2 linked regions of the Caenorhabditis elegans genome follow. The protein of the gene in region 2 purifies or fractionates together with the protein of the main gene of each other region. This does not show direct contact. Each region holds a gene or a part of one and is shown on either strand. Other genes may lie near its edges.

Region 1 (5,042 bases), on a different chromosome or scaffold from region 2:
TTCCAATGATCGGCAGCTACTGGAAGCATCAGGCGATGAAGCTTCTTAAACCTCATGTATCCCCAAACACATCGGACGCTACACGTGTTATGTTTCGGAAAATGATTATTGTAGGCGTAAGCTTTTGTTATATAGCTTAATTTGGTTTCCAGGGCCTGAACTTTCAAATCTTTCTGCCGATGCTTAGTTATATCCCCGTAGTGTTTTTATTTATTCTGATTCAAGTCACTGGTAAGGGAAGCTTATCAAACCAATATAATTTGTATATATCACCTTTAGGCCATCAATTCCTGATCTCTCAGTACACAATAACCTGTCTAGGAGCACTTCCTTGCTTCTTGGATCCAATTTTTCAAATTTACTTCATTACACCGTACAGGAACGCTGTTCGGGCTTTCTTCGTGCGGAAGCCGTCTGCTGATGGTAGTTGGGCTACAAGAGTTTCAGCAGTGAACAGTGTTGCTTGAAAAATTATTAATGGGCTTTTTTTTCAAAAATGAAGCATGTTTTTTATTAAACTTTTTTAATGCACATATGAATAATTTTGGTCGTTTGGAAAATATAGAAACAAGATCCCTTTGTTGTCAGCATTTTTTAATAACAAACCGTGCTCTAATAGTAAGTGATGATTTGAAAGAAATTTCGAAGGTGCCAGTGTTATTAGAATATTTGATGTTATAGTCAATGTCGCCCATATAGTCCGGTTGAAATATTCTTGCAAGTTCAATTGATTGCACATTATGGTGAGTTGAAATAGTGCAGGTCTTGAATGTAGTTTTGTTCATGAGGTCCTGAAAAAAATTTGGGTATACAAGTAAGATGTCTTGACTTGATTTCGGTTTACTTAAATTTACGAAATCTGGTGATCCGTCGACTTTAAATGTATCTAAATCAAGTTAAAACTTAAGATAGCTATATGGTAATTTCATAAAAGTTAGTGCTTGACAAGTCGGTCAAATTTCAAATTTCGGTAATTTTTTAAACCACCGCAACTTTTTTCAGAAGGTTTCGAGAAATTTCATTAGGTTATTCATGCATACATACACACCACTACTTCATACATACATACTATATACATACATACTACATACATACATGTTGCATACATACATGTTACATACATACTATATACTACTACTACTACTGCTACTAATACTACATACTAGATACATACATACTACATACTACATACTACATATATACATGCTACATACTACATAAATACATGCTACATACATACATACTACATACAAATTATATACTACTACACACTATTACTACCAAGGGTGTCATTTTTCGATTTTTAGATTTTTCGATTTTTTCGATTTTTTAATTTTTTTCAGTGAAAATCGAAAAATCGAAAAATCGAAAAATTGAAAATCGAAAAACGAAAATTTTCGATTTTTCGATTTTCAGAAACCGAAAAATCGAAAATTTTTCGATTTTTCGATTCTCTGGAAAATCGAAAAATCGAAAAAGATTTTCGGAAAATTATCCTTAAAATATGATTTTTTAAATCTAATTTTGCTTGAATTTATAATAAAACATACACATTTCTTCTAAAAAGAAGAATAATGGCTAAAATATGAAGCTAATTTCTGAAAAAAAAAAAAAAAATCGAAAAATCGAAAAAACGAAAAACGAAATTTTTCGATTTTTCGATTTTCAAAAAACCGAAAAACGAAAAACCGACACCCTTGATTACTACTACTACTACTACTACTATATACCACATACATGTGAAAATCAGAAAAACTCACATCTCGAATTTTAATCGCATTTGGCATTGAGAGATTGTCAATTTGAATACTGAACTCTTCAAAGTGAAAAAAGTGCTCAATTGGTACTAGATCACAAAACAAAAACCGACAATGCAAAGTTCGTGCTTTTTTCCATTGGTCCAGACAAGTGATTCTTTCAGATAACTCGACTCCGTCGCGGTGCCATAATACAATATCTTTGAGCACTTCAGCTTGACAACTCGAAATGATGTTCAAAATATCATCATGTGGGAAGTTGTATAGTACTACTGACTCTACGGCTATACATTTATTTTCCAACATATCATTTATCGACGATGTGATGGCTTGTTGTTTTACTTTCGAATAGTTCTGAAAAACGAACTTCTTCACGTTTTTCAATACGCTCGCCAAGTCGTTGAACGCTGCTCGCATGAAATTGTCTTCTTCGATTTTTGTTTCTCGTCCTTTGTAAGTCACGTATGCAGTACCAGAAACATCGGTATATTTGATTTGACTTCCGTTTAAGTCCATCGCAACGAAATCATTACAAATGTCAAATGAGATTCTGTTGAGATGGTTTCCTGATTGGTCAACGGCGCTTCTCAGACTTTTGCACACTTTACGGCAGGATAGTCTGGAACATTGCATTTTTACTAAAAAGATTTTAAGACTCCTTTGAGCTGGAAACACTTATTTGGTACCGAAAAGATCAGATATAATCATGAAAAAAACTTAAATTTTTGGCACGGAATTCAAATTTTAATTTCCCAACAATATTTGGCAGAAAATTCAAATTGAACTTTTTAAAATATTTTGGAGCACATTTCAAATTTTTATCATAAAAAAATTAGGAACCAAATTCAATTTTAAAATTTTCCAAAATTTTGAATTTGAATTCAAATTCAATTTTTTAAAATTATTTGGCGGAAAATTCAAATTTTAATTTTTTAAACATTTTGGCGCCAAATTCAAATTTAAATTTCTCAAAAAAAAAAACGTTTTTAATCTTAAAAAAATATATATTCAAATTTTAATTTTTCAAACATTTTTGGCACGAAATTCAATTTTTTAAAGAATAAAAATTTTGGCGCCAAAATCAATATTTAAAAAATTTGGGTACAAAAATAAATTTAAAATTTTTAAAACATTTTAATATTCCAAACAATTTTGGCATAAAATTTAATTTTGTTATTGAACAAATAAATTTTGACGCACCGTTAATATCAACATTTTTAAAAATTTGTGGCGCGAAATTCAAATTAAATGTTTTTTGAACATTTTGGCGGGAAATTCAAATTTTTTAGCATAAAGTTTGACTTTCATTTGGAAAAATTTGTGAAATTATAACTTCAACTTACAGATCCATTGCAGGCAATTTTGACAAAATTTCATCAGAAATTTCCAAAGGCATACTGATAGTGAGCAAAGTTGGCGATAACTTGGACATTTTACTGGAGTTATATGTAAATTCAAACGTAAAAATGAACCAAAAACGTCTATTCACTCTCTCTATTATACAAACTCCAATGACGCATGGTATTTAAACATTTCCTCCGTAAAAAAAGTATGACTCCATCCGTTTTTCCCGAAAAAATATTTAAACTGATAACAGTCACACATTGGTATAATTTCATTTTACTCGAAACTTCCCAATTTCTTCAAATTTTACACTGAAAACTTCAGGTTTTTACTTGAAAAAAGAAACTTTCGAAAATGCCTACTTTACTAGAATTGCCGTTGGAAATTGCCAATCATGTTTTGAAAAGCTGGAGCCCATTGAACGGTAAGTTTTTTTGCATTTTAACAGCAATGCGAATTTTTCATTTTCAAATTTCAAAATATACAGAATAATCTCGAAACTCTTAAAAACTACGAAAAAAACTATGATGTTGAGCAACTTCTGGCCAATCAGAAGGGGCTGCTTTCCTCCGCTGAATGGTTAAGAATTGGGTGCAGCTAAATGCTGATTGGTTGAAAAGTGGGCGGAGCTAAACGTTGATTGGCTGAGAAATAGGCGGAGCTAAACGTTGATTGGCTGAGAAATAGGCGGAGCTAAACGTTGATTGGCTGAGATATAGGCGGATCTAAACGTTGATTGGCTGAGAAATAGGCGGAGATAAACGTTGATTGGCTGAGAAATAGGCGGAGCTAAACGTTGATTGGCTGAGAAATAGGCGGAGCTAAACGTTGATTGGCTGAGATATAGGCGGATCTAAACGTTGATTGGCTGAGAAATAGGCGGAGATAAACGTTAATTGGCTGAGAAATAGGCAGAGCTAATTGCTGATTGGCTGAGAAATAGGCGGAGCTAAACGTCGATTGGCTGAGGAATAGGCGGAGCTAAACGTTGATTCGCTGAAAAATAGGCGGAGTTAAACGTTGATTGGCTGAGATATAGGCGGATTTAAACGTTGATTGGCTGAGAAATAGGCGGAGATAAACGTTAATTGGCTGAGAAATAGGCAGAGCTAATTGCTGATTGGCTGAGAAATAGGCGGAGCTAAACGTCGATTGGCTGAGGAATAGGCGGAGCTAAACGTTGATTCGCTGAAAAATAGGCGGAGTTAAACGTTGATTGGCTGAGATATAGGCGGATTTAAACGTTGATTGGCTGAGAAATAGGCGGAGATAAACGTTAATTGGCTGAGAAATAGGCAGAGCTAATTGCTGATTGGCTGAGACGTCGATTGGCTGAGGAATAGGCGGAGCTAAACGTTGATTCGCTGAAAAATAGGCGGAGCAAAACGTTGATTGGCTGAGACGTCGATTGGCTGAGGAATAGGCGGAGCTAAACGTTGATTCGCTGAAAAATAGGCGGAGTTAAACGTTGATTGGCTGAGAAATAGGCGGAGCTAAACGTTAATTGGCTGAAAAATAGGCGGAGCTAAAATGGTAGGCTTAGACTTAAAACTTTACTTGCAGTGTTAAATCAAAAACTATTTAAATTCCAGACTAACCTGCCGTAAAGTCTGTCGAAGCTTGAGAGCCGCCCTTGACAAGCTTGGAATCCGTTTTGACACCATCAAGCTGGACGTTATGAGCGAAACCCTTTCAATACGGTTTGATAAGATTGAACTGGAATACACTGATTCAGCTGTGATCTACAAAGGACGGAAGACTATTATCCAAGAAAAAGATTTCATGGAGTTGGCATTCAAGGACCTGAAAATAGCAATGAACCATGCATCTTCATTTGTTCTGCAAAACTTTACAAGAAATAAAAACGAGGTTCTCAAATCTCTTGTGAATGTTTTGGAGAACGGAGGAAGCGTTCACGTGAAGAAAATAAATCTTCTATAC
Region 2 (4,722 bases):
CCACTAAGAGACGCAGGTATGTGCAGAAAATAAATACAACTTGCTTCAGCTTTGTTTTTATCGTAACTTCACAATATTTTGGCAATCCTTTTTAAAACCGCATGGATTTATTCAGATGTCGTTTTCTTTTCACTTTTCTGTCAGAATATGTTTAAAATCAGTTTTCAAAGTACAAATAAACTACTTCCATTAAAAATGTGGGATTTCCTGTGTTTTTTTCATACAATGGTTTTAAACAACGACAAAATTCCCTTAATAAATTGAAAAATGCAAGAAAAATAAACGAGGAAGCAGCCGCAAAAATTCAAACACAATTACCATAAACTTTTTTGCGCGTCGGGACCCATCTGAATAAATCTCTGCGCCTTTAAGGATTAATTTTTATATGAATTGATTTTTCTTTTAAAATAACAACAACTCAGTTACGCGTTCTTGTTTGGTTTTCTTTTAAATTTTTAATGTGGCTCCTGACCGTTTAATACATTAAAAATAGATTATTGTAGAAAATGACACAGCGAGAAATATTGCAATCAGTCCATAAAATTGAAATCGATGTAATCTTTATAACTCTCACATAAACGACAACGTATTTAAATTCAAAGGCAATTGTTCAAAAACAGGGAAAATGCAATCTCAAAAAAAACGCCCGACATAAAAATGGGAACTTGTATGAAAAAATAAATGTACATTTGGCATAGATAATTGGCTAGATAAAGAATAAATACTTCCTATTGTGGCTTCTCTCTGTAAGTATTGACTGCTTCGATGTCGAATTTGAAAAGTTCAATCTCACAGGAATAGGCTTTTGGTGTGAGCTTGATGACTGTATGCAATGGAACCTTCAGATATGGAAGATCATCTCGATTTTTGTTAGTAAAATAGGCAAGAATGCAACGGAGAACTGCTTGATGAGAAATGACAAGGACATTGGATTGTCTCTCAAGCTCCATGATAACTGGCTCCAGACGAGCAACCAGATCTTCATATGATTCCCCACTTGGATAACGGTAGTGATATTTATCCTTATCTCTTTCAGCGAATTGTTTCGGATAACGAGCCTCGAAATCTTCATAAGTTAATCCTTCACATATTCCGGCATCGATTTCATCAAGACATTTCCAGAACTCTGTATGACCAGCGAGATCTTTCAGATGAGAAGCTGTCTGGGCGGCACGAATCTTTTGAGATGACCAAACACGGAAATCGTCCAAATCTTCTTTTTCGAAGTATTCGCGAAGTTTTCCAGCGTAATTTAAACCATTTTCACTGAGTGGGGAATCACCACCAAGACGACCAATTCTGTTGTACTCACTTTCTCCATGCTGTAATAAATTTTTTAAAGGGATTTTTAAACTATAAAAGTTTAAAAATACTTGATAATTCTCAGTGCTGTTAATTGAATGAATTATATCCCAGAAACGGAATTTTGTGCCAAAAAAACCGGTGTCCGGTCTTGACACGACATTTTTGTTAAATGAAAAAAGGCATCACCTTTAAAGAATACTGTAATTTCAAACTCTCGTTGCTGCGGAATTTTCATTGATTTTCTTTTTTTTTCACGATTTGTTAAAATTCAAGTTTTTTTACGGGCTCTCTTAGCTTGTTTGGTAAAAAAATATTAATTTATCAAAAAGTGAAATAAAAAATAAAAACGTTTTTACAGCAAATCGTGAGAAAACTGAAACTCAATGAAAACTCGGCAGCAAAAAAAATGAAACTACAGTAGTTTGTAAAGACGCACACTTTTTGGCATTTAATAAAAATTTTCGCGTCGAGACCTGTTACCTATTTTTAGCGCAAAATTTTTTCGGTTTTTTTGTTAAACTTACTCTTGACAAATAAATACTTCTTGGAAGAAGATGAATATTCATCAGGAAATACACAACACGACTCTGCACATGACCATTAACATTGTGAACATAGAAGGATTTTCCGGCATTGATAACTTTGATATAGCTCAGCTCTTCATCATGATCCTCATCAAGTGGCTCATATTGCATTCGATAGTTCTCGATACGCTTCAAAAAGTCTTCTTTTGCTTCCTCTTGAGACATTATTCCTTTATAATCTGGCGAATTGATTTTCACTTCCTGAAAATATGCGGGTTAAGGTGATTATTTTGAAGATCTAAAGGTTACCGTGATATTCGAGTTGATAATATCAGGATCATCACAAACAGATTCCACAAAGAAGACACGGAATGGTGGCTCGTGCATCATATTTCTGCAAAACTCCATCAGAAGCTTTCGTCGGTCTCTTGTAGTATTTGTCGCGTCGAGAATCTGAATAAAAAGTTTATGTCTATATATTTTTTTGAAATTTTTTCCTTTGTAACTCACCGCCACTTCTCCTTCCTTGTTATCCAAGTACCTTCCCATATCTTCAATGGCTAATTTCGCGCACTCACTGAAAATTCAGGAATTTTTTTAATTTTTTTTCTTCATAGTTTCGTAAAATCTCACTCTCGGATCTTTTGACCTCTGGCGTTGTTTGGCGAGAAGAACTCATTTTCGCCTTCTTCTTCCAAATTACACGCTCTTCTTCTGTACTCGCCGACATTGAATGCTGTAATTTTGATTTTTTGTTTCATGTCGTACATATAATCGAATCAGGACCAACCTTTGGTCTTAATTCCAATCCAGTTGAGGTAACGACACAGTTTGTGTGAGATGTATGTTTTGCCACGTGCCGGCAGTCCGACAAGTGCGATGACGTTTGGAACTCGAACCTGCTCGTTTGAGTTGTCTGAAAATTGAGATTTTTGAGAAGACAATGTGGAATGAAAATAAAATAGGGCTAATCGATCAATTTTATGCACTTTTTCAACTCAAAATGCGTCCAAAACGGCTCAAAATTTCGAAAAAAAATGGGCTATTTGATTTTAGCTAAAATCTTCAATTTTGCCAAATTTTCCATGTCGAAACGGACGGAAATCAATTTTAATTGAAATTATGTGAAATAAACTATCTTTTTAAATTTCGCTCATTTGGGCACATTTCGAGTCTAAAAGAGCAAAAAAAAATGGTAAGTCCTCTTTTAAAGTAAACTGACCACTCTTCGGCACGAAATACGTCATTTTGCGCTGCGGTACGCCGGCTGGCCCAGGCATCTCGTTCTCCTGCAACATTTCTAGCCGAAATGATATCGTCTCTTATCAAAATGATTCCGAAGACAAAGGCTTATCATTTTAATCAAATATTAAGAAATCAATAATAATATTATTGCGCCGGAGAGAAAGAAAAACAGGCAATGATAGAGAGAAAGAAAGAAAGAAGGTTCGTGTTATGAATGGGAAGAAAGTAGACACAATCTTCCATAACAATAAAGTAGGAAACCGAAAACGAAAAGAAAAATAACCAACAATTCATTTTCTGTGTTCAACCATCCCTTTCTTTCTCTCTTCTCCTCCCTTGTTTCTTCTTACACTCGAGTTCGCGGGTGTCTTATCTTCTTTGGCGCCTCCTCTCTCTCTCCAATAAAAAGAAAGTCCTGAGAAAATATACGTGACACACGGAAGCGAGAATATTCTCTCAAACCGACTTTTCAACAGTTGAAACGACGAGAAAAAGAATCGCAATTCAATCAACATTTTTAAATTTATTTAAACATTTTCATTATTTATTAATGGTTCATCATCCGGTGGGTCTACACATCCATTAACACCGTAATCTGAGACGTGGTGTCCAAAGTAGAACAGGTGATCGTTGATGTCAAAGTAGCGATGAGTGTTGCTGTAAGAGAAGATTTTCTTATCACGTGATTTCGATCACTGTCACTTGCCTGCACAAATTGTCCTCGTTCAATGGAGTCCCGGTGCAAACTTTGAACGTATCTTGACTTGTCATGTTTCCAGGAAACCAGACTTCGACTCCATGGTGATAGGATCCATGATTGTAGAATGGTATACACCATCTGGCATAGCTTTCCACGCAGAACGGAATATGTGCAACCTAGAAAAAAAACTTTTAATAGTCTTTTGAAAGAGGATATTTTGAACCGCCAGAAAAAAATTTCGAACTTGTTTGAGAAGTTTCATTACGAAATTCGCTCATTTGGGTGCATTTTGAGCCTAATAAAGCATTAAAAAAATCTTAAATATTAGTCTCCCTCACAATATCTCTTCCATGAATCAGTCTCCAGCTTCCTCCAGCAACTAATTTGTCATGTGTCATGGCATATTCGAGATTTCCAACTCTAGGCTGTCCGAATGTGATTGAAAAGGTTCGACTCGACGTTTCGGGAAAGTTTCTAACGAAAACAGTCGATGCAATACTTGCAATAGCTCCGCCCAATGAGTGTCCTGTGAACACAATTTTATGATCTGGAAGTGAGTCTTTCAGTCCTCGCAGTAGTTTTTCCATTGGTGACCACATTGTTTTTAGAGCAGAGTAGAAGTAATAATGAACTGATCCAGCATTGTGCAACTGTAAAATAAGTTTTCTTTGCTCTGTGAGTACTCAGACAAACACTTGAAACATGAGCCTACTTTGTGCTTTGGCCGACCAATGCTTTCGATAAGTTCAGTTACCAGCTGCTCTTTCGATTTTGTTCCACTGAAACTGACGAATATTGTGTCGTTGTCGGCAGCAATCACACTCCAGCACTGGAAAAAATTAAATCAGATGATTTTTGAATATTTAAAGATCTCATGATCTTTTACCTCGTCACGCATATAATCGCACTCCACCTTTTTGAAAAACAATAAAGTCGCATTGTTTTTCG

What was found. Proteins that work in one complex are often made in the same cells at the same time.
Region 1: the proteins of pfkb-1.1 (region 2) and fbxa-12 fractionate together in Caenorhabditis elegans (co-fractionation; one large-scale study listed by BioGRID). This does not show direct contact.

Annotation. Positions count from the first base shown.
Region 1 is NC_003281.10:2,217,908-2,222,949, reverse strand, and holds fbxa-12 (F-box domain-containing protein), read right to left. Parts: upstream 3,243-5,042; 5' UTR 3,154-3,242; coding exon 3,101-3,153; intron 2,377-3,100; coding exon 1,761-2,376; intron 792-1,760; coding exon 585-791; 3' UTR 509-584; downstream 1-508. Other genes in the region: srd-65 (Serpentine Receptor, class D (Delta)), read left to right, coding at 1-110, 153-231, 280-467.
Region 2 is NC_003279.8:5,129,927-5,134,648, reverse strand, and holds pfkb-1.1 (6-phosphofructo-2-kinase domain-containing protein), read right to left. Parts: upstream 3,130-4,722; 5' UTR 3,128-3,129; coding exon of another isoform or gene 3,110-3,127; coding exon 3,052-3,109; intron 2,746-3,051; coding exon 2,620-2,745; intron 2,566-2,619; coding exon 2,463-2,565; intron 2,407-2,462; coding exon 2,340-2,406; intron 2,283-2,339; coding exon 2,139-2,282; intron 2,091-2,138; coding exon 1,830-2,090; intron 1,323-1,829; coding exon 729-1,322; 3' UTR 544-728; downstream 1-543. Other genes in the region: Y110A7A.7 (Fungal lipase-type domain-containing protein), read right to left, coding at 3,602-3,731, 3,781-3,950, 4,113-4,424, 4,487-4,603, 4,661-4,722.